Saccharomyces cerevisiae S288C: one gene and its partners. The protein of the gene in region 1 purifies or fractionates together with the protein of each later gene. This does not show direct contact. Each region holds a gene or a part of one and is shown in the gene's direction. Other genes may lie near its edges.

Region 1 (7,194 bases):
TTTCCTGGTTGTTGTTTTACGTGATCATGTCGAAGAACCAAAGTGTGAGTGCGTCGGAAGATGAAAAAGAAATACTGAATAACAACGCTGAGGGCCATAAACCTCAAAGGCTTTTTGATCAAGAGCCTGATCTCACAGAGGAAGCATTGACCAAATTTGAAAACTTGGATGACTGTATATATGCGAACAAGAGGATCGGAACATTTAAGAATAATGATTTCATGGAATGTGACTGTTATGAAGAATTCTCAGATGGCGTCAACCATGCCTGTGACGAGGATTCTGACTGTATCAATAGACTTACGTTGATAGAATGTGTCAACGATTTGTGTTCATCTTGTGGTAATGATTGTCAAAATCAGAGATTTCAAAAGAAGCAGTACGCTCCGATAGCCATATTTAAAACAAAGCATAAAGGTTATGGCGTAAGAGCCGAACAGGACATAGAAGCCAACCAGTTCATTTACGAGTACAAAGGTGAGGTGATCGAGGAGATGGAATTTAGAGATAGGTTAATAGACTATGACCAACGTCATTTCAAGCATTTTTATTTTATGATGTTACAGAACGGAGAATTCATTGACGCCACAATAAAGGGTTCGTTGGCCAGATTTTGCAATCACTCTTGCAGCCCCAATGCATATGTTAATAAATGGGTTGTTAAGGATAAGCTACGCATGGGAATATTTGCTCAAAGAAAAATTTTAAAAGGTGAGGAAATCACTTTTGATTATAATGTGGATCGTTATGGTGCTCAAGCTCAGAAATGCTACTGTGAGGAGCCAAATTGTATTGGGTTTCTCGGTGGTAAGACTCAAACAGATGCGGCATCTTTATTGCCCCAGAACATCGCTGATGCCTTGGGAGTGACTGTTTCCATGGAGAAAAAATGGCTAAAGTTAAAGAAATTAAGCGGTGAGCCAATAATAAAGAATGAAAACGAGAACATAAATATTGAATTTCTTCAATCATTGGAAGTCCAACCTATCGACAGCCCAGTGGATGTGACGAAGATCATGAGTGTATTACTACAGCAAGATAATAAGATAATTGCATCCAAACTCTTGAAGAGACTTTTTACTATCGATGATGACTCTCTTCGTCATCAGGCTATCAAACTACACGGTTACACCTGTTTTAGCAAAATGCTTAAATTGTTTATCACGGAACAACCTCAGGTAGATGGAAAAGGAAACGAGACTGAAGAAGATGATATAAAGTTTATAAAGGGAATTTTAGATTTTTTGTTGGAATTACCAAAGACAACTCGAAACGGTATTGAGTCGTCACAAATTGATAATGTAGTAAAAACTCTCCCTGCAAAGTTTCCATTTTTAAAGCCAAACTGCGATGAGTTATTGGAGAAATGGTCGAAATTTGAAACATATAAAAGGATAACGAAGAAAGACATAAACGTCGCAGCCAGCAAAATGATAGATTTGAGAAGGGTGAGATTACCTCCAGGCTGGGAGATCATTCACGAAAACGGTCGCCCATTGTATTATAATGCAGAACAGAAAACGAAACTACACTATCCACCTTCGGGATCATCTAAGGTCTTTAGTTCAAGGTCAAATACACAAGTAAATTCTCCGAGTAGCAGTGGAATACCAAAAACGCCTGGCGCTTTAGACTCTAAGAAACATAAGCTGAGTGACGAAGAATATGAGAGGAAGAAACAAAAAAGACTGGAATACGAAAGAATTGCGCTAGAAAGAGCCAAACAAGAAGAATTGGAAAGCCTGAAGCAAAAGCTAAAGCTTGAGAATGAAAGAAAAAGCGTTTTGGAGGATATTATAGCGGAGGCCAACAAACAGAAGGAGTTACAAAAGGAAGAGGCCAAAAAACTAGTGGAAGCAAAAGAGGCTAAGCGGTTGAAAAGAAAAACGGTCTCCCAGTCCCAAAGACTAGAGCACAACTGGAATAAATTCTTTGCATCTTTTGTACCCAACTTAATAAAAAAAAACCCACAAAGTAAACAATTTGATCATGAAAACATTAAACAATGTGCTAAAGACATCGTGAAAATCCTAACTACAAAGGAACTTAAAAAAGATTCTTCAAGAGCGCCGCCTGATGACTTAACCAAAGGAAAAAGGCATAAAGTTAAAGAATTCATAAATTCATACATGGATAAGATTATCCTCAAGAAGAAGCAAAAAAAGGCGTTGGCATTATCATCAGCATCAACAAGGATGTCTTCTCCTCCACCTTCAACATCATCATAATTAACCAGACATGCATATTTGGGGCTTGTTTCACGTTTTCTGTCCCAAAGGAAGTCTTGTACTTTAATTGTAATTGCGATTTGTAATAAGTAATTTTTTTTGTCTTTACCGTTTATTTCTTTATACATTTTTGGTGCATATATTTAAATATCCGCATTAGTGGGCTATCAGTAGCACTGTAATGATAGGTAATGTGACACATCTTCTCGACAGATATTATTCTTGAAAAAATCGTGCGTTTCAAGTGTCTTTATTTTTTTGCTGTCAATAGAAGTGTTGAAATGACTTTGAAACGTAATTACCGCATCGGGAAATTTACATGTTAACTGCAATGAAAACAAGGAATATACGGGGAACATATAAAGGGTCAGCGTCGTTGACTAGTCTGTCATTTATATTGTGCTTGTACATAGGACTACAAAAATTCAAAGAATGACGACAAGAAACATGACTACTTTAGCATCAAGTATTGAGCATAAAACAAAACATCTAGCCGCGCCCTTCGAGAACGATGAGAACCCTTGGATGAAAAAATACTGTTGCCAATGCAAATCATGTAAAATGAGTGTGCCTGTCCAACCTTGGCTGCCAAGGTTTTTTGTTTTTGGAATCTTGTGCCCCGTTTTCTGGTTGGTGAATCTTTTAGCCTGGTGGTTCTTACAGTATTGGCAACCACATGAATTGGAATTCCACGACTTGCAAGAAGACGAATACCCAGGATTTTATGAATATGAAGCCATAACTAAAAGAACGGTGATACCCATAAAGGAAGAAGTCCTCCAAGAGATTCGCGTCATGCAGAATTTCAGTGATAGCAACAGCGAAGAATATTACGAGAGCAAAGACGGTATGCCGTCGTCTTTCCTAAACGTGAACACGGAACAAGTCGAGGACGAGAATGACACCTTGAAAAAATATCGTTACGCGTTTTTGAAGAAGGTAGCCCACGATGTGCTGGAGTCGCACGATTTATTACGTAAGACCTTCCGCGACTGGAATTTACGGTCTTTGCTTGGCCTCCTCATCGATTCTATACTCATAATATTTGTAGTTCTCCTATGTAAGAAAAGCCGTTAGGTAGATCTAAAGACAGAAAATGATATCAGCCTCTTTCTTTTCCACAGCCTCCATTTCCCATTTTTGCTGTATCTGCAAGGGTTCCTTTTTCCATTTTTTTTTTTCAAAGTCTTGGCTCCGCCCTTTTCTTTTGTCTATTTTGCCGAGCTTAGGTTATTTATAAACCTGAAAATCCTCGAGAAACAATCCTTATCGAAGGAAGCAGCCATAATAGAACATACTCAAGTGCAAACATTACAAGCTTAAATAAGACAAATGTTACAGAGTATAGTCCTTTCCGTGTGCATGTTTATGTTGCACACAGTCGCTGCCAGTGGACCTCAGTCGTACCAAAAGTTGGATTTCACTAATGTTGGTTTTACAGGCTCCTACGTAGATGTGAATAAGTTTAAAGATATCACCAACAATGAATCGTGTACTTGCGAAGTGGGTGACAGAGTATGGTTTAGTGGTAAGAACGCTCCACTAGCAGACTATTTATCCGTTCATTTCCGTGGACCATTGAAGTTGAAACAATTTGCTTTTTACACATCCCCTGGATTTACCGTCAACAACAGCAGAAGTTCTTCTGATTGGAACCGTCTTGCCTACTATGAGTCCAGTTCCAAAACCGCTGATAACGTTACCTTTCTAAATCATGGAGGTGAAGCTTCCCCTTGTTTAGGAAATGCTTTGTCCTACGCTAGTTCTAACGGTACTGGCAGCGCCAGTGAAGCTACCGTTTTGGCAGATGGCACTTTGATTTCTTCAGATCAAGAATACATAATCTATTCGAATGTCTCATGTCCAAAATCAGGTTATGATAAGGGTTGTGGGGTTTACCGTAGTGGCATTCCAGCTTACTATGGGTACGGAGGTACAACAAAGATGTTTTTGTTTGAATTCGAAATGCCTACTGAAACTGAGAAAAATAGCAGCTCTATTGGGTACTATGACTTGCCTGCTATTTGGTTGCTAAACGATCACATTGCAAGGACTTCTCAATATCCAACCAATGCCAACTGTTCATGTTGGGCTAGTGGATGTGGGGAATACGATATTTTTGAAGCTATGAATGGTACGGAGAAAAACCATCTCTATTCTACTTTCCACACTTTCCAAGGTATCGAGGATTTGGGTACTGGTATCCAATCTTACGGATACATAACAAGAAATACTACTGGAACGATGAAAGGTGGTGTTGTTTTCGATTCTAGTGGAAATGTCGTTTCTTTCATATCTGATGCCACTCCATTCAATGGAACTGTTTCTGCTGATACTGTTAACGATTTATTGGCTGCAATTCCAGAAAACGAAACCTATTCTTCTCAATTGATGAGCATTTCTGCTACTGCGCCTTCGACCACCTCGAAGTCGAATGGTGTTGCTTTAACGAAGATGCAAAACGGTGTATGGTATTATATTTTGGCCATATTCACTGCCTTTACGCAAGTGGTTTTGATTTGATTTAAGTCATTGTATGGTCATATTATCATCATCATTTAAATTTTGATTTGACACTTGATTTGACACTTCTTTTTTTTTTTATTTATGTTTTGTTTAACTGACGGTGTTTTTTTTTTTACGTTATACTGATACATATATAGACGTGATTTATTTAAATAAAAAGTTCTATGAAAAAAAAAAAAAATTAAAAAAAAAAAATTAAAAAAAAAAAATCTTTGACTATTCAATCATTGCGCTTAAGCGTATTCGTTAACATTAACGATATACTCGTAAACAAAGGCAATGGCAGATAAATGACCTGGGACATCCACGTGTTCATTAACCGAATGCAATGTCTTCAGTAAATCAATATCAATGATAGAGCCAACAAACCTATAAATGTTCTTGGACAAATTCCAGTAGTATTTAGTATCGGTGTTACCAGAGAATAAACCAGTAGTCACATAGAACTCTTCGTTGTTTTGTAGAACACCGTTTTCAAAAACATCTTGAATAGTACCTGCCAAAATGTCCCAAACAGGGCCTGAACTTGGCGAAAGTGGTGCTGGTTCCAATTCTCTCAAGAGAGTAATGTCAATGTGACCTAACTCGGTTTCAGGGATAATGTAATCGTCACCGTTCTTAGATAAACCATAGCCATACTTCTCAGCAATCTTTTTCGCATATTCTATGTTTCTTTCAAAGACTTCAGCCACAGAAGAATGTAAATTAATTCTGTGATTGATCAAGAATCTGGTAGTTTCGGGCAGAGCATTAGCTTTAACACCACCATTGATGATATCAACAGCTTGTGTTGTTCTTATTAAGCTGCGCAAATGTGATTGGTTGGAAATGTACTCAACAAGCTTGTCCTTCCTTCTAGGACAGAATGGTGCGCCCAAAATTGTCTTCTTCACATCCTTACTTAAAGATTTAGAATGTTCAGCAGCACATGTCAACAATCCATAGATTGGATTGTCAAACTCAAATTCGTAGTCAAATGGGTTGGCTTCAAATTCAGTAATCAGTTCTGAAGCGATACCGATTGTGGTATGATCAGGTGGGACAGAGGAATGACCACCATGGCCTAGAATACTGACTTCGAAGTCGACATAGCCTTTTTCAGCGTTGATTGGAGTGGCAACAAAGACATCCTTGTCGACTTCCATGATACCTTCACCCTCGTCAATGATACTGTAAATACCATCATCACCATATCTTTCGTGAAGAAATGAGGCTAAGCTGGCAGCACCGAGGGTGCCGCTTGCTTCTTCATCAAAACCAAGCGACATAACAATAGTTCTGTTGGGCTTGAATCCATCTATCAACAGTTGTTCGATAGCTTCAAACTCGGCAATTAACAAGTTCTTACAATCGTTAGAACCACGCCCCCAAACAAAATCTGTTTCTGGATCATAGTGACCAGAAAATGGAGGGAACTTCCAGGATGATAAAGTTTCGTTGTTTACAGGTACAACATCTTGATGGGCCATTAACAATAATGGTTTTAGATCAGGATCAGAACCTTCCCATGTGTATAGAAGACCCAGCTCATTGACTTTCTCCAATTTCAAATGCTTGTGAATATTAGGGAAAGTCTTCTCAAAATAGTCGTGTAGTTCATAAAAATGCTTATAGAAATCCGGATCATCTGCGGGGTTGGGGTTTTTGTCTTGGACTACAGTGGGGATTCTAACAGCATTGGACAGTTTCTCAATGGAGCTGTTTCTAAAGGCAGGGTCATGAAGAATTGTGTCGACGGAATGTTTGAATGATGGACTTAATGGTTCAATCTTCTCACATTTGGGTGAGTGCATGGGACCTTTTCCATGGTGTGGACGCTTTGCCTCATGAGGTGGTGCTGGGTGGAGACCCGAAGTGAGGAAGAAGGTGCCGATGATAATAAGGGCAACTATTCCACTAATAAAGGCTCTGTGCCTTTGCCATAGGGACTTTCTAGGGGCCTTCTCTACTGGTAAGGCGATCATAATGTAATTGTTAGATGAATGATTCCTTAATGTGATGATGCAGGATTAGTTTTACAATGGGAAGAGACGTATTTGGGGTACCCGTTTCTTTTATATGTCATAAACTTTCTTGCCCGACCTTGGAAGGCTGTATCGTATTTTGCCCAAAGGGGAAAATAAAAGGCCGCTATGATAAGATAAGGGTGGCGAGGCTGAGATAACAAGAAGATGTTCTGAGCATTGAGCATTTAGGATAACAGTGCACAAGATCACGCGGTTCAATTCGTCACGTAAAGCTACTAGAAGTGGGTGTTTCTAGTAGCCTGCAAAAAGCGTCGTTCTAAAGAAACTTTTTTCAATGACACATTTACTGAAAATAGAAAAAGACTATCTATTCGTAGCTGATTTTCAAAATCCGTATGGGAAATCAGAGGTTATGGAACTGACAACGTCGTAGGAACAAGCGATATGCAAATCCCGGTGTCGCTTTGTTTGTG
Region 2 (8,129 bases), on another chromosome or scaffold:
AGGCGCCTTAGAGTTGTAGCCTGTTCCGTATTCGGGTAGATGACCGAGCAACCATTTAGGGTCCTTGTCGAAATCGTCCAAACTGGTTAAAAATACCTCGCTACTGGGGATATGCGTTTCCGTTTTGTTGCCAAATAAATCTACGTGGTATTCCGCCTTCAAGTCATGCAGTGTCAAATTTTCATGAGTGGATATAGAATTGCCGTTTTTATCTTTAATTTGGAAGTTTTGAACGTACTCAGCAATGTCCGATGGCCAATATTTCTCTTCGCTATACAAGTGCACTAAGGGACAATGATTGATGACATAAGATGGAATCTCTCCAGGCGTATGCAGACTTCTCTGATCATCTGTCACATCTGTGGAATTTAGTATGGGCGGCAATTGGCCGTCGACTTTGAATCTGTTCCGTTGACCCATGGCCATGTCTCTTTTCATCAAAGGCTCTAACGGATCATAATCTTTCAATGGTGGAAGGACAAGCGCCCGTATGACGCTTAGATCTACTATTAAGAACCATAACAATATTCGCGCTAGTACGCAATGCATTCGCTAACTGAATTGAAGTTTGCTTTACCTATTGAGTACTTTATCAAAGCTGCCTTCTTTGTCATTGACGGTAGCTTCAAAAGAAAAGGAAAGTTCAATTGTTAGTTCTATTATAAAGAAGAGAAATTTCAATTTTACATATTCGGAACTTTCTCTTTTTTCATTCGGCTAGTACAACTACGTAGAGAGTATATCTCGCATCCGTCGTATGAGTAACGAGTTATGCTTTCCTTCAAAAGAAGGGTTCTTCCTTTTTCACTTTTTTCTTCTTCCTATTTACACGTAGGACAGCGAATACGGAGTCATGAAACCTTAATAATGCGCTGTTTTTTATTTTTTCTAAGTTTCAATTTGATTTTGTCGTTTCCGTCATAGCCATATAACTAAATTGAGATATAAACTATTTTTATTTTTCCGAGAACGGCCACTGCTTTGGGGCATGCATTATACGATTTCTCGAGAATCCGGTGAAAGCGTATACCCAAAAGAGCAACATAATTGACTGACCCACAATTTGGTTAGAGACATGCTATGCTGATCCTGCATATCTCAAACAGGCAATATGATAACATACATAAGCAATCTCGGCTACGCGGATTTTGTGTGGGTCTGAAAAAAAAAAAAAAAAAAAAAAAAAATAGCGCGGAGCCGGGTGAGAACGTTGGACGGGTAACATAAAAACAGAGCTCTTTATATAATCAAGCATTCCCTCCATACAAAATGTGTCTGCAGCCACGTGCAAAGTACGGTCGTCGTGTGCTAAAGACCAGTAAGTACAGTCTAGCGGGCCTCTGACTAGCTTCTCTGTGCTTGGCGAGGGGTTTACTGGAGCCCAATCGGACTAGCCGGGCTTCGTCACTGCGGCAATGTCTTCGCCCAACGGATCGGAACAGCTCACTGATTTCACCCAAACGGGAAAAAGGAAAAACAAAAACAAAACAGAACGGCGTAGTTTCCGGCAGCCATGATGATCCCTGATCCATAGAGCCATTTTTTTCATTTATTTCCTAATGCATTTTGTTCATATTCTGGATCTGCGTTAAACGCTGTAAAACTGGCTCGTTTCTTTTATATATCTTGCAATCATTCGCTGCTCAACCATCCTAGTCTCTTTTTACACGTACCCTTTTTCCACTTTTTCTTTTAGTTTATATATTCTTTTCGCCTAAGAACATTTGTCTTTGTAATCTACTTAACTTAGCAATTGTCAGCTGTCCTGTTACAACCTGTTCTCCAAAGTGAATACAATAAGCAGTATTTGCTCTTTTTCGTCTAGGTGCGTTGATCTAATCTTCTTTTTATTTTTCTTCTTCGTTCAGCCTTTTTTGTCCTCACCGGTAGCGTTCACCCTAATTCTTTAATTGTCATACCCATAATTATACTACAAATTTCGTGGTCTAGTTTTCTAATATAACTAATTACTTTCTCCCTTCTTACTTCATTATTTTAATTTTGCATTAGTACTCCTCTAGCCAAAGATAAACAGAAATGAACAGACAGGAATCCATAAATTCGTTTAATTCAGACGAAACATCTTCGTTGTCTGATGTAGAAAGTCAGCAGCCGCAACAATATATCCCTTCAGAGAGTGGATCTAAATCCAACATGGCTCCTAATCAACTGAAGTTGACCCGGACGGAAACCGTGAAGTCATTGCAGGACATGGGTGTGAGCTCCAAAGCCCCCGTTCCTGATGTTAATGCTCCTCAATCTAGCAAGAATAAGATTTTTCCTGAAGAATATACTTTAGAAACCCCTACAGGTTTAGTTCCTGTCGCCACTCTACATTCCATAGGTAGAACTTCTACTGCGATTTCCCGTACGAGAACTAGACAGATCGATGGCGCTTCTTCGCCTTCTTCTAATGAAGATGCTTTAGAAAGTGATAATAACGAAAAGGGTAAAGAAGGCGACTCTAGTGGTGCGAATGACGAAGCTCCAGATCTAGATCCGGAAATTGAATTCGTTACCTTTGTGACTGGCGATCCAGAAAACCCCCATAACTGGCCTGCATGGATCCGTTGGAGTTACACTGTCCTACTGTCAATCTTAGTTATTTGTGTCGCCTACGGGTCTGCTTGTATCAGTGGTGGGTTGGGAACCGTTGAAAAGAAATACCATGTAGGTATGGAAGCCGCTATTTTATCGGTTTCTTTAATGGTTATTGGGTTCTCGCTGGGTCCTTTGATTTGGTCTCCTGTTAGTGATCTTTACGGTAGAAGAGTTGCTTACTTTGTTTCTATGGGTCTTTATGTCATCTTCAATATCCCTTGCGCCTTAGCTCCAAATCTAGGTAGTCTTTTAGCTTGTAGATTTTTATGTGGTGTTTGGTCATCATCTGGTTTGTGTTTAGTTGGTGGGTCTATTGCCGATATGTTCCCAAGTGAAACAAGAGGTAAGGCTATTGCTTTCTTCGCTTTTGCTCCTTACGTTGGTCCCGTTGTTGGTCCACTAGTTAACGGTTTTATTTCCGTTTCTACCGGACGTATGGACCTGATTTTCTGGGTCAATATGGCCTTTGCAGGTGTTATGTGGATCATATCTTCTGCCATCCCAGAAACGTACGCTCCAGTTATCTTGAAGAGAAAGGCTGCTAGATTAAGAAAGGAAACTGGTAATCCCAAGATTATGACTGAGCAGGAAGCGCAAGGTGTCAGTATGGGTGAAATGATGAGGGCTTGTCTGTTGAGACCTTTGTACTTCTCTGTCACTGAACCTGTTCTAGTTGCTACTTGTTTCTACGTGTGTTTGATTTACTCTCTACTATATGCGTTCTTCTTTGCCTTCCCTGTCATTTTCGGTGAACTATATGGCTACAAAGACAACCTTGTGGGTTTGATGTTTATTCCTATTGTTATCGGTGCTCTTTGGGCGTTAGCCACAACTTTCTACTGTGAAAACAAGTATTTACAAATTGTCAAACAGCGTAAACCTACTCCTGAAGATCGTTTGCTAGGTGCTAAGATCGGTGCTCCATTTGCTGCAATTGCTTTATGGATCCTGGGTGCTACCGCTTATAAACATATTATTTGGGTTGGTCCAGCTTCAGCTGGTTTAGCTTTTGGTTTCGGTATGGTGTTGATTTATTATTCATTGAATAATTACATTATTGATTGCTACGTCCAATACGCATCCAGTGCTCTGGCTACAAAGGTTTTCTTAAGATCCGCCGGTGGTGCTGCCTTCCCCTTGTTTACCATTCAAATGTACCACAAATTGAATCTGCACTGGGGTTCTTGGTTGTTGGCTTTCATCTCCACTGCTATGATTGCTTTACCTTTTGCATTTTCTTACTGGGGCAAAGGTTTGAGACATAAGTTATCCAAGAAGGATTATTCCATAGATAGTATTGAATAAGAGTAACGATTTTACGAATCGAGCATAATAATGAAAAATTATAGTAGTAGTAATGATAAAAACATAAGCAAACATAAGCAAACATAAGCAAACATATCAAACATGCATTCAAACCATTATCCGACAGTAATGTACATATATTTTTACGTATTTTACATTCTTTCTCTATTGTTCTTTTATCTATTGCTATCCTAAACAAATATATTGATTGACCTTCAAACCGTGAGTAACTTTATTAATTTATATGTATAGAAAAAAAAAAAAATTGAATTAGAAATTTGAACTTCTCAAGTTCATTCTTCTTGTACCTATGCGATGACTTTATTTTCGGTTTTTACATTCCTCCTCATTTGACCGAGGAATACGAATTTGATTGACCCCCACTCACTAAACAAAGGGTCGGAATTCTTTTCCACTTTAAAACTTAGTAATAACAACAAAGTCAACAAAATAGTCCTATTGCAAAATTGCAGGTTCCTTAATTAATATTCTTAAATGATCATCAATAGGCGTATTTTGAAATCTTTTGAAGAGATAAGTCATTCATTAGAGGAATCACTACGAGAGGTTGCATTTGATTCACAGCAACAATTGATTCAAGACGTACGTGAGGAAAATGAAGAACTAAGTAGGTTACAAGATCAATTACAATTGATCAGGTCAATTGTTGAAAAAATCTGCATTTCAATCAAAACTGACAATATTGACTCTTATTGTTCGGTGCCTTTTGATTTGCTATACAATATTTGCAAGGACATTGCTGATCCCTCATCCTTTGAAGACGGAGATTTGCAATATCTTGTTAGCCAAGCCATATTTGAGTACATTATATTATTGTGCTACTATTCTGTGACCAACGAATGCGTCCAAGGTTTACCTGCCGTGTATGAAGCTGAACAGTACTACAAAACAGTAAGTGATTCAATCCTAAAGTCTTTTCTTTACTGTTTACAAAATTCAGTATCGACAATACGTCTTTTATCTCAAACTGTTTTGAAGGATGTAAATAAGAAAAAACTGTCGCATCAAAAATGGTCCCTAAAGGCCTTGTCAGTTGATTTACTAGAAAAAATACGCCCAAGAATAAACAAATTTATGGTGATTCGGAACTTCAGGTTTGTCGGGCTACCGAAGAAACCAATTGAAATAGCTTCATTGGTTTCTGATATACCTCGCGGTATAGTGCACGAAAGACTTGATATGGTCACTCAATCATCAAAGTATTATACTATTAAACTGGGGCAGTTGATCACTGAATTCGATCAACAACCAGAAGAAAATGGTATGTTCACCGAAGTACATTTACCGAACTACGAAAGACGTCTAAAATCTTTACAGGACTTCTTTGGATTAGCCATGTCTGATTCGAATTTACTAGATGTGATCCGATGCTCAGCGAAATTTCATAAAGATCATCCTTTAAGAAGGTTCACTAAACCAAGTATATTGACTAGATACTGGCCTTCAATTTTGTTGTGTCTTTTATATGGACCATCTTCTGTTATGTCGTTGTGGAATTCCCGGTATTTTATTCAAGATTTCATTAAGACCAATGTCGTTGACTTTGCGAAAGGGCTGATCTTGAACTGGTTATGGGCACCCCTGAAACAGGTTTGGTCTACTGTTAAGCATGACGAGGGAAGCGCCATTTCAGTGACATCACAGGAGACATTAAACTCTGACATGGATTCTCTTACCAGAATGATTGTTAGTTTTGTTGTGGATAATAGTGATTCGACGTCTAACAGCCCCATAGACCCTATTCTATTGAGTACTAAAGTCGAACATGGTGATTTGACCGAATTTATGGAAATATATGAAACACAACTACATCATCCGATAAAGAATATAGCTACGGGTGGATTAGTCAGGTCTTTATTGATTCAACTGCAAAAAACAAAAGTCGATGGATCTATGGCATTGAATGGCATTGATAAAATGCTGAAATCGCAACAGTTGGTGTTTGGAGTTGTAGCATTATCTCCGGCTTTAGTGATACTATATTCTTCTATAGTGGCGTTAAAAAGATTTGTCAAACTAGGCAATGTCTGGTCTAATGAAAAACGGTATAGGGAGCAAATAAGTATAAGTTTGAATAATGTGGAAAGAGTTTTGAATTATTCTAAACAAGGTGCGGACGCCGATGAGGAACACTTAAACCAGGGTCTACTAGTGATTGAGGTTTCTAACTTATACAAATTGGGAAGTTTTTTGATCCCGCGTTCAAGAAAGAAAGAATGGTTTAGGGACGTTGAGGAACTGGTGGATACCAATCTTGACTCCGGAGCTCATATAAATGTCGTCAACAGGATATACCACGTATATGGCAGGTTTTTAATCCATTAGCGTATAGCCTGCTGGGGAAGAAGAAAGGGAAGATATTGAATATATTCTTAATGTATTTTTTGTACAGACGTAAATATAAAGAAATCAACGCAAAATCGACGCCTTTTTACTTTTTATACTTTTTTACTAAAAAGACAGATTTTCTCGCTCATATCATAAGTGATGTACTATTATCCTCCATATACGATATATCTGTTTAAAAAAAAAGAAAAAAAAAGGTTACTTAAATTCATACTCATTAGAAAAAAATTCTAGGGATAACAACACCAAAGGTAGAACTTCGTTCAATTTATGAAAGGTTTGGCCATAATGGAGAACAAATGAATGAAGTATATAAAGAGAAAAACGACTTAAAAGATATTATTAACAATATCTGACCCAATACTAGCGCCTGCCCCAAAAATGGCGGCATTACCCAATTTGCTACCAAAGCTCTTCAAGTGGCTATGTGAGCTCTGATGTTGTTGTTGTTGTTGTTGTTGTTGGGGAGGAGGAGCTTGTTGCGGCTGTTGTTGAGGCTGCTGATAATAATTTGTGGAAGGTGGAGGAAATGGCTGCTGTTGATAAGATGATGCGGCACTATTTTGCGTGGGGATTTGTTGTAATTCTTGAGCTTTATACTGTGGAGGTGGTGGAAGATTGGATGGACCGTTAGACCCAGAGAAAGCTGGCTTGACATAGTTTGCTGGGAAAATACCGGTACGGCCATTACAGCTACCCTTGTACCACTCTGGAGATAATTTTTCTAAAAGTTGGACCTTGTCACCTGGTTTTAAGCCCAAATCACCATCTTGTTGAGGATCAAATTGATAAAGAGCTTCGACATATTCCAAGGAAGCTGGACTGGCGTTGCGGGGTGCATTGGCAGGATCCCATTTTGCCGGCAAGCTCTTATTTATTTGATCGTAAACGTCATTTGAAATGACATTTGACCCTTTTAGAAAATCCAGTTCTGTCCTAATGTTTGTTAAGGAACGATTAATCAATGAAGCAGACATTTTTGAAATATCAGATTGCCTTCTTTCCTAATGTTCTTGTGTTTGCGCCAATGTGGGCACTTTGCCTATTGTCTCAACCGATTTGAGGTTCGACTATATATGCAGCTTACAATATCCATCCCCGCCTCGAAGGAGGCTCGGTTAATCACGCTGCACGAACGAAAACAATAGTTAAAGAAACGTTTAGAACAATCTAGCGCTTTGAAGAAAGAGTATTAGGCTCTTTACGTGAAGGATGGCACATTCTCATTCAAAAGTTGCTGCTAACTTTTATCATCAAATCAGTAAACCCCTTCTTGTTTTTTCTTGACAGAAGCTTTCACATAACGGAACCAACCATGGAATAACTTAGCACCACATCGAAAAGGATTTGGACTACTGCGCAACAAAGTGGGACCCATGTAGACATAGAAAATAAACCAGATCTATAGATCGCACCTATTAAAAACCCCATAACTGTACCAGTCGTCAAGCCTTGAACGCCTCCGTATAAGACGTACATGACGAATATCCATACACTTCCAGCCTTCTTTCTATGGGTCAAGCTAGCATACACACCAGCAGTAACGTAAAATGCACCATTAAAGATCAAAGTCCAGTACAGCGAAAATTTCCAAATGTCAGATATATAGTATAAGAATGCAGTATTATACTTCGAGTTGTTGATGGGCCAGTATAATGAGGGGAATTTTGGCGTTACATATCCAACAGGTATATCGTTATTTGTTACGAATGATCTGAGCACAGGGAACATGCGACAGAGTAGTGGATGTTTTTATTGTTAGTTTTGTGCCTATTATTTTCTTAAGCCACAGGGAGCGATGCCTGCATCCAGCCGTGGCGGATATAGTCTTGGTAATGAATAACATACCTCATAAT
Region 3 (8,242 bases), on another chromosome or scaffold:
TTTTAATTGAATAGGCGCCATGGAAACACATGTGGTAGGGAGTTGAAATAATAGAACATCCGAATTTTCTTCGTCTTCTTGGAATATATCCCTTGCCAACAGCTCCGATCTGATGATTCTAGCATGATTGAACATAATTTCATCCAAAATCCCTTCGATATTAGATACAATATTGTTATAAATTACAGGCATATTTTTGGCCCTTGATGCACTCTGGTTGTCCCATTTTAAGATAAGACTTTCTGTTGTTCTTTGAATGCCAATAGTGATCTTACCCTTACTGTCCATTTTCCCATTCAGCCAATATCTAACTGTAATTGTACTTTTTTTAGAGTCATAGTTATGGATCAAATTACTTTTGGAAAATTTACCGCCGTTGGCCAGCTTTAAAAACTCTCTATGAACCATGTATAGCTGTAATGTCAACACGTATTTGTGCAGAAAATTGTATAGGGATAATAATGGATCATTACTTTTCAAAAGAATTTCATTGATCAACTTCTCTAATCTTGGCTTATTCAAAGGAAGGTTATTTCCGTTGGAACTTGAGTTTTCTTCATTGTTCTCACTATCGCCGTTAGTCGAAGTAGCTTCTGTAACTGCTGAAACAGTTTGTTCAGCTTCCGTGTTAAACAACAATTTTAAATCCACAAAAAACAGAGGGGACTGTCTATTAACAGTCGATAACTGGATTTCAAATTCATTAGGGACAGTAAAGTAGATTCTACCGTTTTTGATATGATAGCTGTTTAATGGTTTAGGAATGTTCATTAATGCAATTTTTATTGAGACAGTCAAGTTCAAATCTTTTAATCTCTGTAAAATCAATCCAATGGGAACTTTGGCCATTCCATCTACCATATCCATAGAGTTACTGACACCGCTTAATTTAAAGTTGTGTGTAGGTAGATTTGGCCTCCCAAGACTCAAAACTTCCAAAGCGGTGACCAAATCCACGTTGGGCAATTTAGCATTGGTCATAGAGTTTAGACTGCTTTTCAAAGCCCAAATACAATTGTTGACATTCATGTTAGTCGTTCTAAACCAGTTCAACAGATCGATTAGTACGTGAAAGTTGTTTTGTTTTATAGTACGGGTCCATTTCACAAGCACGTAAAGTTTCAAAAATTGTGTCCTTAGGAATATAATCAGCTGTAAGAAACGTATTTTCTTTGCGGAGTTAGGCTCATTTGCCTGGGTGTGAACATTAGTTTTCATGTACTGAGCAAGTTCCTTCATTGTAAATACCGTCAAGTTCCTTATTACTAATGCCAGACTGACTTGATTAATCTCAACATGCGGCAACGCTGGCGGAGGCGCACTTGTCATAGTCGCTGCACTTGTATCTTTCGGTACCATTTCTAGAGATTCTTTTTGGGTGGCCGTAGTTTCCGGGTCGGTTGCAGAAGGGCCATGCAGTTGAGTGTTCTTAACGGGACCCTGTTGCTCTTGCCCATTCTGCTCGGACCGGTTCTTCAGTGCGTGCATCTCGTTAGAAAGTCTCTCCTCATTAGCCAGCATTTGTGGGGATCCTATCGTGGTAGTCATTGCCCAGCCAAGAAAACCCTATACTTTCCTGCCACTTTTTAACTCTTTTTCTGATGATCTTTACAACAGACCTCTACTAAACAATTGAAAAATTCACCGTTTTTACTTGAACCAGCGACCGTGCGATGGGACAATCGTTTAGTTAACAATAAGCGGGACAAAGTAATTAAATTTAGTGGCATCTAGAGAGAATAATTGAACGCAATGAAGAGAGCATGGTACGTTGAATTGTAGAATGTGGGGGGATAGTATGCGCGAGCTTGGTGACGCTATGGATAATGAGTTGAATGCAGTGAAGCCGGTGGTGGAAGAAGGTGGCATGGATGGTGCCAGAAAATTTATTAAGGGTAAGAGCTTTCAGAAGTCTTCTACCGAACATATGTTGATTTCGCCCGGTAGGGATGGTTCAGTGCCATTGAATGGGTTGAAATCGTCGCCGGCAGACCCGCACTTGTCTGATGTTAATTCTATCTTGGACAATCATCGTGGCGGTGGCGAGACAGCTTTGACGTCTGTAAATAATATTATCATGGCCACTTCGACGAATGGGGACAGTGATGGGGTTGATGGAGATGCCAAGAGGCCGTCTATTTCTAACTGTTCGTCGAGATCATCATTTTTTGACACCGTACTGAGCACGTTTTCCCTAAAATCAAATTCACAAGATACGGTTACTAATGAAGTCAAAAATATTGAGGTCCAGTTTGCATCCGAGGAGGCTAATAAAAAATTCCGCCAAATGTTCAAGCCATTAGCTCCTAATACGAGACTTATTACGGACTACTTCTGCTACTTCCACAGAGAATTCCCCTATCAGGGCAGAATCTATCTCTCCAACACACATTTATGTTTCAACTCAACCGTGTTGAACTGGATGGCAAAGTTACAGATTCCCTTGAATGAAATTAAATATTTAGATAAGGTCACCACAAATTCAAGTGCTATTTCGGTGGAAACCGTGACTAACAGGTACACTTTTTCCGGATTCATAGCGAGAGACGAGGTTTTCCAATTGATTACAAGAGTTTGGTCAAAGGAAAACTTAACCAATATCAATGACGTTTTGGAGGTTGATGAGAGGGTCTCCAAGAAAAAGGGAATATCATCGACCCCTTCTTCCATATTCAACAATGTTTCTACCAATGCATATAACGATTTCATATCGACAACCACTACTGAACCAACAAGCAGGGCTTCCTACATGAGCGAGAACGACATGCTCATCGAGGAGGCCATAAGGTCCGTGGACGATTACATGGGCACACCAAGAGCATCGCCATCTTCTTCATCTTCGTCGTCATCGTCGTCATCGTCTTTAGGCTCTTCAACAACTTATTATTGTAGGCCCGTATATAGGTTAAAGCCAAACGCACCATTTCAATATGAGGGGCCATTCCATGTACAAGAAACCATGGACTTTCCTTATAAACCTGAGGCTAATAATGAATACGTGCTTCTGGAACGTCAATTCAGCGTTCCACCCGGCCTACTTTTCATTATGATGTTCAATGAAGATAATCCAGTTTTTGAGTTAAGCTTTTTGAAAACTCAAGATTCGTCCAACATCTCACACATAGGGACTTTTGAAAAAGTCAATAAAGATGGACAACATTACAGAGAATTCCAATACACCAAACAGCTGCATTTCCCTGTGGGGCCCAAATCCACAAACTGTGAGGTAGCGGAAATTCTTTTACACTGCGACTGGGAAAGGTACATAAATGTTTTAAGTATAACAAGAACACCAAATGTTCCTAGTGGTACCAGTTTCAGCACCAGAACGAGGTACATGTTCCGATGGGATGACCAGGGGCAAGGTTGCATATTAAAAATAAGTTTTTGGGTGGACTGGAACGCATCCAGTTGGATCAAGCCAATGGTAGAGAGCAATTGTAAAAATGGACAAATTAGCGCCACTAAGGACTTGGTAAAGTTAGTCGAAGAATTTGTAGAGAAATACGTGGAATTGAGCAAAGAAAAAGCAGATACACTCAAGCCGTTGCCCAGTGTTACATCTTTTGGATCACCTAGGAAAGTGGCAGCACCGGAGCTGACGATGGTACAGCCGGAGTCGAAACCAGAAGCTGAGGCGGAAATCTCAGAAATAGGCAGCGACAGATGGAGGTTTAACTGGGTGAACATAATAATCTTGGTGCTCTTGGTGTTAAATCTGCTGTATTTAATGAAGTTGAACAAGAAGATGGATAAGCTGACGAACCTCATGACCCACAAGGACGAAGTTGTAGCGCACGCGACTCTATTGGACATACCAGCCAAAGTACAATGGTCAAGACCAAGAAGGGGAGACGTGTTGTAACAGAGTAATCATGTAATATTGTATGTAAGGTTATGTATGTTCGTATGGTATGGAAAAAAAAAAAAAAAAAGGATGCTATGTGGAGAATGTAAGGCGTGGTAGCTCCGGATAATTCAGTCTGTAGGCTTCATCACGGGCAGTGGCCTGACTCTGAGAGCTTGCTCCGGTATTAAGTTGTGCGTTTGAAATTTTCTGGAAAAAAGAAATTGATTGGTTGAAGCTATACTCGTCGAAAGATTTCTTCGGCAGTGGTTGTTGCTCCACCTGCACGGGAGTTGTGTTTGCGTTTATGTTCGGCTTGGCTATATTATTAGCGAGTGATGTTTGCAATTTGCTGTATTGAGAATCAATTTGGGTGCGTAAGCTTTCAATAATTTTGCAGACCGCAGGCACTTCCAACTTTATGAGTTGCAGGTATTCTCTTTTATGAATATACGATGACGACGATGACGACGACGCATCCATGCGCAAAAGCTCAGGGTGTCTAGATAGTTTGTTAGTCAATAAATCCACATATCTAAAATAATAAATAAACGACAGCGACAAGTCGTTGGCCTGGAACGCACACTGTGCCTTTTCCAATATGCCGATGCATGTTTTCAGGTAAATTCTCAATGGTATCGCCGGATTGAAGCGATAATCCTTAGCGTCCTGAACCAATTGCTTACTAGACTTCATGACCTACCGGGGCCAGATAAAGATGCGGAAGGAAGAGAAAAAATGTATAGTGGTTGGTGAACCGCAACAATAATTCGTGCCAACACTTTAATCGAAGCAAAAATTGTCTTGTATGTTATTAATATTATCTATCTAACCATTGATTTACGTATAAAACTGTCGATGCTCATCGCCTAGCAATGAAAAAATTTTTTCTTTTTTTTTTCATTATTTCTCTTTGTTGCGTACTTTTTTTCATTGCGTTTCGCGGCAAAAGCGATTCGAGTTGACTGGAAGTGTGTTATACTATAAAAAGTGTATATGCCTATTTTTGGTTCTGATCTTTACTTTACTGTTAAGTACTGGCTGAGGCAGTAGACTCTGCCTCTGTTACGGCAGCGGTATTCGCCTCGGCATCAGCAGCCGCCCACGGTAGAGTAGGTTCTGTTGTTTTGACGTTTGCCAAGGTACTGTCCAAATGCTCCTTCAGCAAGGCCTCATTACTTTCCTTCTCCGGACCCACCGATTGCGTGATCTCCTGTACACGGTTCAAGAACTTGTTCAAATTGTAGCCCGCAGCAGCATCAGAGACTTCTTGTGTGTAAGGGACACCCCTCAACTCCTTGACTCTTCTTTTGTGCACTTTGCCCTTTAAATGCGTTTTTAACGCTATAGCAGTCTCCATGTATTTGGCACAGTGTATGCAATAGTGCTGACCAAGGCCCGGTTTGGTTTCATCCAATGGCTGGTTCAGAAGCTTCTGTACTGATTCCTTGGTGGACAAATCGTTATAGATCAGGTCCAAGTCTCGTGTTCTTCTTTTAGTCTTGTATCTCTTCACCGAATATCTACCCATGATGCGCTATTGTTTTATCTTCACTTGTCTGTGTGTTTAACTGCCTTTCAATTCACCTCATCTCATCTCCCGCTACTTTCCATATATAAAAGCAAAATTAATTTGCTTTTTCCCCTGTCAGTATAAAAAAATTTTCCGCAGGATATAGAAAAAAAAGAAATGAAATTATAGTAGCGGTTATTTCCGTGGGGTGCTTTTTTACACCTGTACATCTTTTCCCTCCGTACATTTTTTTTATTTTTTTTTTTGGTTTTTTTTTTTCGATATTTTTCCCTCCGAAACTAGTTAGCACAATAATGCTGACTAAGGAAACTTTTCATCTCAGAATTGATGGTCAGTTTGGTTTCTCTAGAGAATAGTTTATAAAAAGATGTTGATGTGGAGCAACCATTTATACATCCTTTCCGCAAGTGCTTTTGGAGTGGGACTTTCAAACTTTAAAGTACAGTATATCAAATAACTAATTCAAGATGGCTAGAAGACCAGCTAGATGTTACAGATACCAAAAGAACAAGCCTTACCCAAAGTCTAGATACAACAGAGCTGTTCCAGACTCCAAGATCAGAATCTACGATTTGGGTAAGAAGAAGGCTACCGTCGATGAATTCCCATTGTGTGTCCATTTGGTTTCCAACGAATTGGAACAATTGTCTTCTGAAGCTTTGGAAGCTGCTCGTATCTGTGCCAACAAGTACATGACTACTGTCTCCGGTAGAGATGCTTTCCACTTAAGAGTCAGAGTCCATCCTTTCCATGTCTTGAGAATCAACAAGATGTTGTCTTGTGCCGGTGCGGATAGATTGCAACAAGGTATGAGAGGTGCTTGGGGTAAGCCACACGGTTTGGCCGCTCGTGTCGACATTGGTCAAATTATCTTCTCTGTCAGAACCAAGGACAGCAACAAGGATGTTGTCGTTGAAGGTTTGAGAAGAGCCAGATACAAGTTCCCAGGTCAACAAAAGATTATTTTGTCTAAGAAGTGGGGTTTCACCAACTTGGACAGACCAGAATACTTGAAGAAGAGAGAAGCTGGTGAAGTCAAGGACGACGGTGCTTTCGTTAAGTTCTTGTCCAAGAAGGGTTCTTTGGAAAACAACATCAGAGAATTCCCAGAATACTTTGCTGCTCAAGCTTAAGTTCTTTTCAAACATTTGAACTAACTTAAAAGAGAAATTTTTTTGATTTAAATTCTAGTTTATTAAACAGTAAATATATTTATACATTATTGTAATACATATAATTATGTGTTTTTTTAAAGTTCAGCATGTTGGGTAGTGATATATCCTGAAGTCAATGGACACTGTTGCTTTTTGTATACCAGCAGGAAAAAAAAAAGCCTGAGCTGCAGTAACGAAGAATTGTTGAATGCGTCTAACAAGAAAGGGAGCAATCGATAACAGGGACGTGCGCCGCTAATGTCATTCAGATTATTCACGAGGACTTCTCAACGTCTCCCTCGCCTTAACTGGGTTAGTCCCATCAGGCGATACGCCAAACAACCTCAATACGATGAAGCAGAGTTGTTTGCAGAGAACATTAACCATGGCGCATATAAAGCAAAGAAAAGGCCATCAGACGAGCATTTCCAATGGCCTGAGAAGTCTCCTGATCAGATCACAAAGGAATCTGAACTCCAATGGGAAAGGATGGCGAAATTATCTGCTGTTGGGCAAGGGATCCTCATTCTCGTGGTAGTGGGTGGGTTGGGAACGGCCTACTTGCGTTGGCCAGAATTAAAATCCTGGTGGTTAATCAAGATGAATGGCGGTCGCATAAATGCAACGCAAGAGCAAAGTGGACAGGATTCGTTGGAAAAATTGATCAGACAAAAGGCCAAAAATCTATTAAGGGAGATTCCTCAAGTGCCTGCCTTTCAACTTGGAATAGATCATCCTGGTGTATACATATGGGGAAGGTGTCATTCTAAGGACTCATTGTTCCCTGTTAGAGTACCTAATTTGGATGGTCGTAAATTCAGAGATATCCTATTAGCTCCCTCTGACGATTTCAACACCAATTTTGCAATTGACGAGAAAGGCGATTTGATATCGTGGGATGATTTGGGACAAACAAAAACGATATTGCCAGATCAAGATTTGACCTCAATGAAGTATTCTAGTCACTTTTTGTACGCTTTGAATAAAAAGGGTGAAATATTGGTCATACCTATAAGAACGCCGGATCTGATAGCTTCGCAAGTATCATCAAGAAGGTCGAAATTGTTGCCATGGAAGACAAAACTAAGATATGATTGGAAATTACAAACAAATCAGATTTTCAACGGTAAGGAAGGAGAAAAACGTGTAGTACAATTTGACGCTGGTAGCCATCATCTGGTGTTGCTATCTAATTTAGGTAAGGCTTATTGCTGCGCGACGGGAAATGATCAAAAACAAGCTCAAGTATCCAAAGGACAATTCGGTATACCAACATTCTCACAATTCGATGAGTTTCCTCCCAATAATCAACTATTCGAAATTGAACTGCTGAACAAATTTAAGCATGAAGGAGAAGACGTTGTCCGCAAAAGAGAAATTAAAAAGATAGCTTGCGGGTCGTACCATACACTGGCAATAGATAAGACTGGTGAAATTTATGCCTTTGGCTGGAATAGGTTCGGCCAATTGGCACTACCTATTTCGTACAATCTAGAATATGTTTCTTTCCCAAGATCGGTAACGCATGCATTTAAACCGCATTTCCCGGGGATGACGAATTGGAAATGTGTGGATATTCATTGTGATGATGAAACATCGTTTGTGACCATTCGTAAGCCTGGCTCAACGTCAGACCATCATTATTTCGCGTTTGGTAATGGACTTTTTGGTGAATTGGGCAACAACACTTTCAAGAACTCGCAATGT
Region 4 (7,607 bases), on another chromosome or scaffold:
ACGTGTAGTTTTGATGTTTTCAAGTCCATAATTAACTCTATCCTGTGAGGTCAAATCAATCATATCGTTGGGACTACCAGGTCGCTTTTGGTTTCGTGCAGTGAAGGTAGACGAGTGTCTAGGTGAAGTAGTATCTGATTCAATGGTACCACCCATTTCGGTACTCTCTTTATTAATGATATGGGGTGTACGAGATCGTATAGTAGATGGAAGAATATTGTATTCAGATATGTCGGCATCAACTTCTTTTGGTGCACGTACCTTTTGGACTGGTTCCTTGTCTAATTGTAAAGGGTTCAATGATTGGGACGAGAAATCGTTCACTAGAGGATCAGAGTTTATTTCAATCTCCGATTGATAGTCATGATCAGATTCTGTATTTTGATCATATGACTGCTCCGTTTCATTTTGTTCAATAAAAGATTGGTTATGGGCTGTTAAACGATTGAGATCATCATCAAAGGTGAGTGTATCATAATTGAATTGGTCCAATTTGGATTGGTTGTCTTGTAATATAACGTAATTGGTAGTATCTACTGTCTTTTTTAATGATGGAAGATAGATAATATAGCCATAAGAGTTTCGTGACGGATGTAAGGCGTAACCTGGAATGCCACGAGGATGTATTTTCGAGTCGGGATTATGGTTGTTAACTATAACCGGTTGACCGAAAGGTAGTATAGTAGTAATGTCCAGTCCAGCTAAACCTGCATGTTGTCTTGCAGATTTATCGTTTTTTGGTGAGACTAATGAATTTCTGATTATAGTAGAAAATTCGACTGCTGAGAACCATAGATGATTTGGTAGACCACTGCAATGAAGCAGTGTGCGACAATCGTTTAATAAAGTACGATTTAATCGTTCAGCGACACCGTGTGCTCTAGAATCTGCCGTGGTTGTATAGCATGCAGTAATACCTCTGTTCGTAAAGAACTTATGAAGAGTTTTGTTAGTGTACTCGGAGCCACGATCCATCTGGATAACTAGAACGCGAGCATTGAATTGGTTCTTAATAAATGCTAATATCGATGTAAAAACATTGAGGATAGATTCTTCACGACGGTCGTGTAATGGGTAGACCCATTGGAATCTGGTTTTCTCATCTGTAAACGATATAAAGTAAGAAGGTGCACTTTTCGGTAAGTGATGTACAGGACCAAATATATCGGTATGCAAGTACTGAAAAGGCTCATATGATTCTTGGTACTTTAGTCGTGATCCTTTGATATGCCTATGTTTCGTGCTTTTGCCGATTAGACAGTCAGGACATTGATATGTGCTAGCGTTAGACCATTCAATATCCGATTCTTTCAAATATGTAACTGCATTCTTCTTAAGAGACTTCTGAATACTTCGGAAGTTAGCATGTCCAAGCATTCGATGTATTAACGGATATGGATATTTATTTACGCTTTTGCTTTTGTTGACGTTGTTTATTGTTAGCTTTGAAATGTGCGAAGGAATTAGGTATTTTTTAGATAACCAGTAAAAGTCTCCATGTTTGACTATGGGAGCTAGTACTGTACCATCCGATCTTTCTAAAGTGTTTCTGGTAAAGCAGGCAGTAATATTTTGGTTAGCCAGCTCACTCAAACTTAATAGATCATAGGCTATGTTTGGTGTGTGTAGTGCTTTTATTGATGTTTTGGTGCCGTTCTGAAAGTTGAAGTGAAGATTACCAATGGCATTTATAGGAATGTCTTGTTTTTGAGCATCGACTATGTTTATTTCAGAATTGGGTGTTGCATGGTGTAAATAATGGGCTGATCTGACAAGCGTTTGCGAAGCTCCTGAATCAATAAGAAGGTGATCAGGTAGTTCGTCATTCGAGTCTATTGTGCGTGTTGGCTTAGATTCTTTCTGTTGCTGGCCTAAGACTAAGTTCGTTGTCATCGCTTAAGTATTGTGATGAAACGGTTGATTCATTAATGTGATCATTGTTCACCCTTGAGAATTTACTGGATGTAGCAATATTGTGAGCTTTTGCTGCTCTTGGTTTTGAACTATTTGTTCTATGATAATTACGACTTGTAACCTTCGTGTTAGTCGTGTTTGGAGATGTGCGAGAAACATTTTTGTATTCGCTGTGTTGTTTGTATTGGGACGGTTTATTTAGATTCATGATTTTATTTTCGTCATATATTAATTGAATTTCAGCGAATAATTGGGAAAGTTTCATGTTCGTTTTGGTACGATATTGATTACGTAGGTATTTGAAATCACCGGATAGACCTTTAAGTATTAGTTGACAGGCCAATCTGTCGCTAACATTGATATTGTTTTCTTTTAGCCTCTGAATGATCGTACTGACTGTAATTTCAAATGTATCAGCAGATGTACTTCCGTCGTACTCAAGGTTGGCAAGAGCTATCCAATCCTTTAATTCTTGATTGTTAGTTTGCATTTTGGACACACTTTTACAAAGGACTGTAAGGATGTCAGCATAATTAATTTCTAAAATTTGTTTTACCCATGTTGGCAATAAATGAAATGGGGCAAATGCTTGGAAGGTATTGTATATATACGCATGTTCTTCATAAGTCATTTGTCTTTTGATTTCACCCTGGTCATTTGGAATTATGTCACCGAGATTAGAGTTCTTCAAAAATCTGATGTAAAATTTAACCCATGTAGAAAAGTTTTCTTCTGATGTTAAAGTGTGTGGTGGTAAGACGTTATTTCTCACCTTTGTCTTAGCTTGAGGTACTTCAGAGTGTTGATTCTGTGAATCGATTGGATCAGGTGAGGAAGTACTCAGCGGTGGGATATACTGTGGCAGCGGATAGTGTGGGTCCGGTTGATAATACGCAGGTGACGTTTGATAATGTGAACACGTCATCATAGATGGTTGTTGGTAATGTGCCCAGTTAGAGGCCATAGCTTTGTTTGGGGTCATCATGCCGTGCTGTTGGTACTGTCCATTCTGTGGAGGTGGTACTGAAGCAGGTTGAGGAGAGACATGATGATGGTTCTCTGGAACAGCTGATGTCCCAGGTGTTGTCTCTTGTTGAGAATTAACCTTAGTGGAATCTCTATCAAATTCCGGTAAATTGGAAGCTGAAACGGCTAACGGATCTTGATTTGATGGGACTTCCTTAGAAGTAACCGAAGCAGCGGCGCTACCATGTAGAGAATGTGGATTTTGATGTAATTGTTGGGATTCCATTGTGATTAAGGCTATAATATTAGGTATGTAGATATACTAGAAGTTCTCCTCGAGGATTTAGGAATCCATAAAAGGGAATCTGCAATTCTATACAATTCTATAAATATTATTATCATCATTTTATATGTTAATATTCATTGATCCTATTACATTATCAATCCTTGCGTTTCAGCTTCCACTAATTTAGATGACTATTTCTCATCATTTGCGTCATCTTCTAACACCGTATATGATAATATACTAGTAACGTAAATACTAGTTAGTAGATGATAGTTGATTTTTATTCCAACAAGACGATAGTGGATTTTTATTCCAACAAGTTGCATGTGTGTTTTATTAACGTTTAGATGTGTGTCATAATACTGCATCATACTATCTAATAATATTCAAATTACTTGTAAATTGAGGCAACTTGGCCGAGTGGTTAAGGCGAAAGATTAGAAATCTTTTGGGCTTTGCCCGCGCAGGTTCGAGTCCTGCAGTTGTCGTTTTTACCAAAAATTTTCCTCAATCTTTTTAATTTTACTTTAATAGTACCAGAATGACAATGCGATAAAAAAGAATAATTTGAAAGGGCACAAAAATGGCAAATAGTGCTTGGATCGTGAACTCTAGTCTTTTTTATACCTACGGCTGCCCTTCTGCCTGCAGCATACATTAACTATCAAAGAATTCGGTTGGTCGATGAGCCATAAATCGATGAGAAAAAGTATGCTTTAGTGTTACACGATATTTTACGGACAAACAGAAGGTTTCGATATCGAGGTAACCGCATCACGACTTATCGCATTTCGGAAGTTGCAGCGCACTTTGTAACTGATGGCGAAGAGCAAAGACTATGTGAGTTATTATACTTGCGAAGGAGTTTCACATATATTGTATATTAGCTATTTTCATAACAACAGTCATAATCCTCCGTTCTGCAGTCGTTCAATAAAAAATACGGCTTTCCCCCCTCTTTATTCGTACAGAAAACTTTACGCTCTGGCTTCTTCTGCTCATTTAGCAGACCTTCAGTTCTGACGCACGGCTGATTATCAATGATTGTCAAAGTAGCTGTCGCGACCATGTTCAAGATTTTTTAGAAAGAAAACATAGAGTCAATAAACCTAGAAATAGAACATATCATATGCATATCATACCAATCTTCATGCCAGGTGCACATAAGCAGTATTTTAAGGGGGCTATTTGACGGAGTACCTGAATTGTAACATATAATCTTAGTAGACTAAATTGAAAACATGTAAAAATAACAAAAAAATAAAATAGAGAATACACTGTATACTGAATAAGCAGATTATAGTTAAAATCTAACTAGATAGAAATAAAAAAATGCCAAATAATGTTAGATAAAGCAGAGGTTGAAAGAAAAAAATTATATACAGTCAACTAAGTACATCAACTTTGCTGTGGCAGGAACACAAGTATCATATTTTGTACGTCTCTATGTTCAGTATTTGTCGTTAACTAGTCTGTTGTCTATTATACCTAGTAAATCCTGAATATTTTAAGGTAGTGTCAAGTGATATGTTGACTGTCAGTCCTGGATATACCATATATAACGATATCGATAATGATACAACTCGTTCAGTTATAAGTTATTCATTGCCAATCGAATATGCATAATCTGGTTATGGAGGCCTAATTAAATCAAGTATCTCAAGATATAGAGATTCCCCAAGATCACCAGACAAAGTGAAAAAGGTCCTAAAACGATAATGTTAACCTGTGATACTACAAACAAATATCCAGTTTCGCCAATCCTATTATCCTCGGGTACATGTCTATTAATCATTTAATTTATAGATTTACTAAAAGCAGTTATGTCATAACGTGATTTTTACAATATTCACTTCGTAGTAGTGAAATATGCACATGAAATTGTATTGGGATACATTTCGATTCACTTTTTGACTGATAATCTGCACAATTAATGCCCAAATTTTATCATTATTTTCAAACCACTAAAACTACGTGAAATTGCCATTTAAAAATAATGTGTGCGTTTATTTTGAAACATCACAAGGTCAGGGACGCTGCAAAAATGTGTCCCTTTAATTCTATTTACGGACAGAGTTCAAGAAATAAGTCCCGCGAAAAAAGAAGAAAATAAACAATACAATGAAAAACGCAAATTCTCGAGAATACGTCGTCGCCTATATAAATTTGAAAACTCTTTTCCTTGGCTGAGATTTTAGCGCGTTCTATAGAATAGTCAATTGTAGACCGTTCGTTACTTGGGACGTCCTAATATGCCTTTGAAGTCGTTTTTTTTTTCAGCATTTCTAGTTTTATGCCTGTCTAAATTCACGCAAGGCGTTGGCACCACAGAGAAGGAAGAATCGTTATCGCCTTTGGAACTAAATATTTTACAAAACAAATTCGCCTCCTACTATGCAAACGACACTATCACCGTGAAAGGTATTACTATTGGCGGCTGGCTAGTAACAGAACCTTATATCACGCCATCATTATATCGTAATGCTACGTCACTGGCAAAACAGCAAAACTCTTCCAGCAATATCTCCATTGTCGACGAATTTACTCTTTGTAAAACCTTAGGATATAACACCTCTCTAACTTTATTGGATAATCACTTCAAAACTTGGATTACAGAGGATGATTTTGAACAAATCAAAACCAACGGTTTCAATTTAGTTAGGATCCCCATCGGATATTGGGCGTGGAAACAAAATACTGATAAAAACTTGTACATCGATAACATAACTTTCAATGATCCATACGTAAGTGATGGATTACAACTGAAATATTTAAATAATGCTCTCGAATGGGCGCAAAAGTACGAACTAAATGTATGGTTAGATCTACATGGTGCTCCTGGATCCCAGAATGGATTCGATAATTCCGGTGAAAGAATACTCTATGGCGATTTAGGCTGGTTAAGGTTGAATAATACTAAAGAACTGACTCTGGCTATTTGGAGAGATATGTTCCAGACATTTTTAAATAAAGGTGACAAAAGTCCTGTGGTGGGTATTCAAATCGTCAACGAACCGCTTGGTGGCAAAATCGATGTTTCAGACATAACGGAGATGTATTACGAAGCATTTGACTTGCTCAAGAAAAATCAGAATTCGAGTGACAACACTACGTTTGTTATTCATGACGGTTTTCAAGGAATCGGTCACTGGAACTTGGAGCTAAACCCAACCTACCAGAATGTATCGCATCATTATTTCAATTTGACTGGTGCAAATTACAGCTCTCAAGATATATTGGTCGACCATCATCATTATGAAGTGTTTACTGATGCGCAATTGGCCGAAACTCAGTTTGCACGTATTGAAAACATTATCAATTATGGGGACTCTATCCACAAAGAACTTTCTTTTCACCCAGCAGTAGTCGGAGAATGGTCAGGCGCTATTACTGATTGTGCAACCTGGCTAAATGGTGTTGGGGTGGGTGCACGTTACGATGGATCATACTACAATACAACGTTGTTTACCACCAACGACAAGCCAGTTGGAACATGTATATCCCAAAATAGCTTAGCTGATTGGACGCAAGATTACCGTGACCGTGTGAGACAATTCATTGAGGCACAGCTAGCCACTTATTCGTCAAAAACAACGGGATGGATTTTTTGGAATTGGAAGACCGAAGACGCCGTAGAATGGGATTATTTGAAGCTAAAAGAAGCTAACCTTTTCCCTTCCCCTTTCGACAACTACACGTACTTCAAAGCAGATGGATCTATCGAAGAAAAATTCTCATCCTCTTTATCAGCACAGGCATTTCCAAGAACAACGTCATCGGTTTTGTCCTCCACTACGACTTCCAGGAAGAGTAAGAATGCTGCAATTTCTAATAAACTAACAACTTCGCAGCTATTACCAATCAAAAATATGAGTTTGACCTGGAAAGCGAGCGTATGCGCACTCGCTATCACCATTGCCGCTCTTTGCGCTTCTCTTTAAAGTAAACGGCAACAGTGTGGTGCGTTTAATGGTGCTAATTATATATACACTTTTCATTATATTATTATAGATACTCAGAACGTAGGCACTATGTAGAAAAGCACCCAAAGTTCGAAATATCATATGATATACTTCTATGCATGTCGTAGAAAAAGACAACAATCTGAATTGCAACCTCAAAAAAAAAAATCTTAGTACTACATCATATTTGTGCCGTGGCCTAGCTGTATCGTGAGAGAAGGGAGAATAATATCAGAGAAGTGGGGTGAGCAAAGTATAACAACCACGATTATGAGTTCAAGTTCTTATAGGGATTCATATTTTCAATACCGCCATTTACCAGCACCACATCACATATTATATGCGGAATGGAATCAAGATATACTGGCGCTTCCGGACGAAGTGGCAAATATTACAATGGCTATGAAAGATAATACTCGCACCGACGCGGAGGAGGGAAGAGCTCCCCAAGATGGGGAAAGGAATTCTAATGTACGCGA

Evidence for each region.
Region 2: the proteins of TOH1 (region 1) and NCA2 purify together in Saccharomyces cerevisiae (affinity purification with mass spectrometry, with the first as the bait; one large-scale study listed by BioGRID). This does not show direct contact.
Region 3: the proteins of TOH1 (region 1) and LAM6 purify together in Saccharomyces cerevisiae (affinity purification with mass spectrometry, with the first as the bait; one large-scale study listed by BioGRID). This does not show direct contact.
Region 4: the proteins of TOH1 (region 1) and EXG2 purify together in Saccharomyces cerevisiae (affinity purification with mass spectrometry, with the first as the bait; one large-scale study listed by BioGRID). This does not show direct contact.

The regions. Positions count from the first base shown.
Region 1 is NC_001142.9:97,261-104,454, reverse strand, and holds TOH1 (Toh1p), read left to right. Parts: upstream 1-3,560; coding exon 3,561-4,751; downstream 4,752-7,194. Other genes in the region: histone methyltransferase SET2, read left to right, coding at 27-2,228; ASG7 (Asg7p), read left to right, coding at 2,676-3,305; CPS1 (Gly-Xaa carboxypeptidase), read right to left, coding at 4,988-6,718. UniProt on the Saccharomyces cerevisiae protein: Probable circularly permuted 1,3-beta-glucanase involved in cell wall modification through beta-1,3-glucan network alterations such as increased branching or remodeling.
Region 2 is NC_001148.4:833,686-841,814, reverse strand, and holds NCA2 (Nca2p), read left to right. Parts: upstream 1-4,401; coding exon 4,402-6,252; downstream 6,253-8,129. Other genes in the region: TDA6 (Tda6p), read right to left, coding at 1-549; TPO3 (spermine transporter), read left to right, coding at 2,038-3,906; PIN3 (Pin3p), read right to left, coding at 6,603-7,250; MAY24 (May24p), read right to left, coding at 7,570-7,987, 8,122-8,126. UniProt on the Saccharomyces cerevisiae protein: Involved in the mitochondrial expression of subunits 6 and 8 of the F0-F1 ATP synthase.
Region 3 is NC_001144.5:277,079-285,320, forward strand, and holds LAM6 (Lam6p), read left to right. Parts: upstream 1-1,783; coding exon 1,784-3,865; downstream 3,866-8,242. Other genes in the region: RGR1 (Rgr1p), read right to left, coding at 1-1,548; RFU1 (Rfu1p), read right to left, coding at 3,941-4,543; BUD20 (Bud20p), read right to left, coding at 4,878-5,378; 60S ribosomal protein uL16 RPL10, read left to right, coding at 5,849-6,514; FMP25 (Fmp25p), read left to right, coding at 6,794-8,242.
Region 4 is NC_001136.10:977,021-984,627, reverse strand, and holds EXG2 (glucan exo-1,3-beta-glucosidase), read left to right. Parts: upstream 1-5,418; coding exon 5,419-7,107; downstream 7,108-7,607. Other genes in the region: YDR261W-A (gag protein), read right to left, coding at 1,850-3,166; SWM1 (Swm1p), read left to right, coding at 7,399-7,607.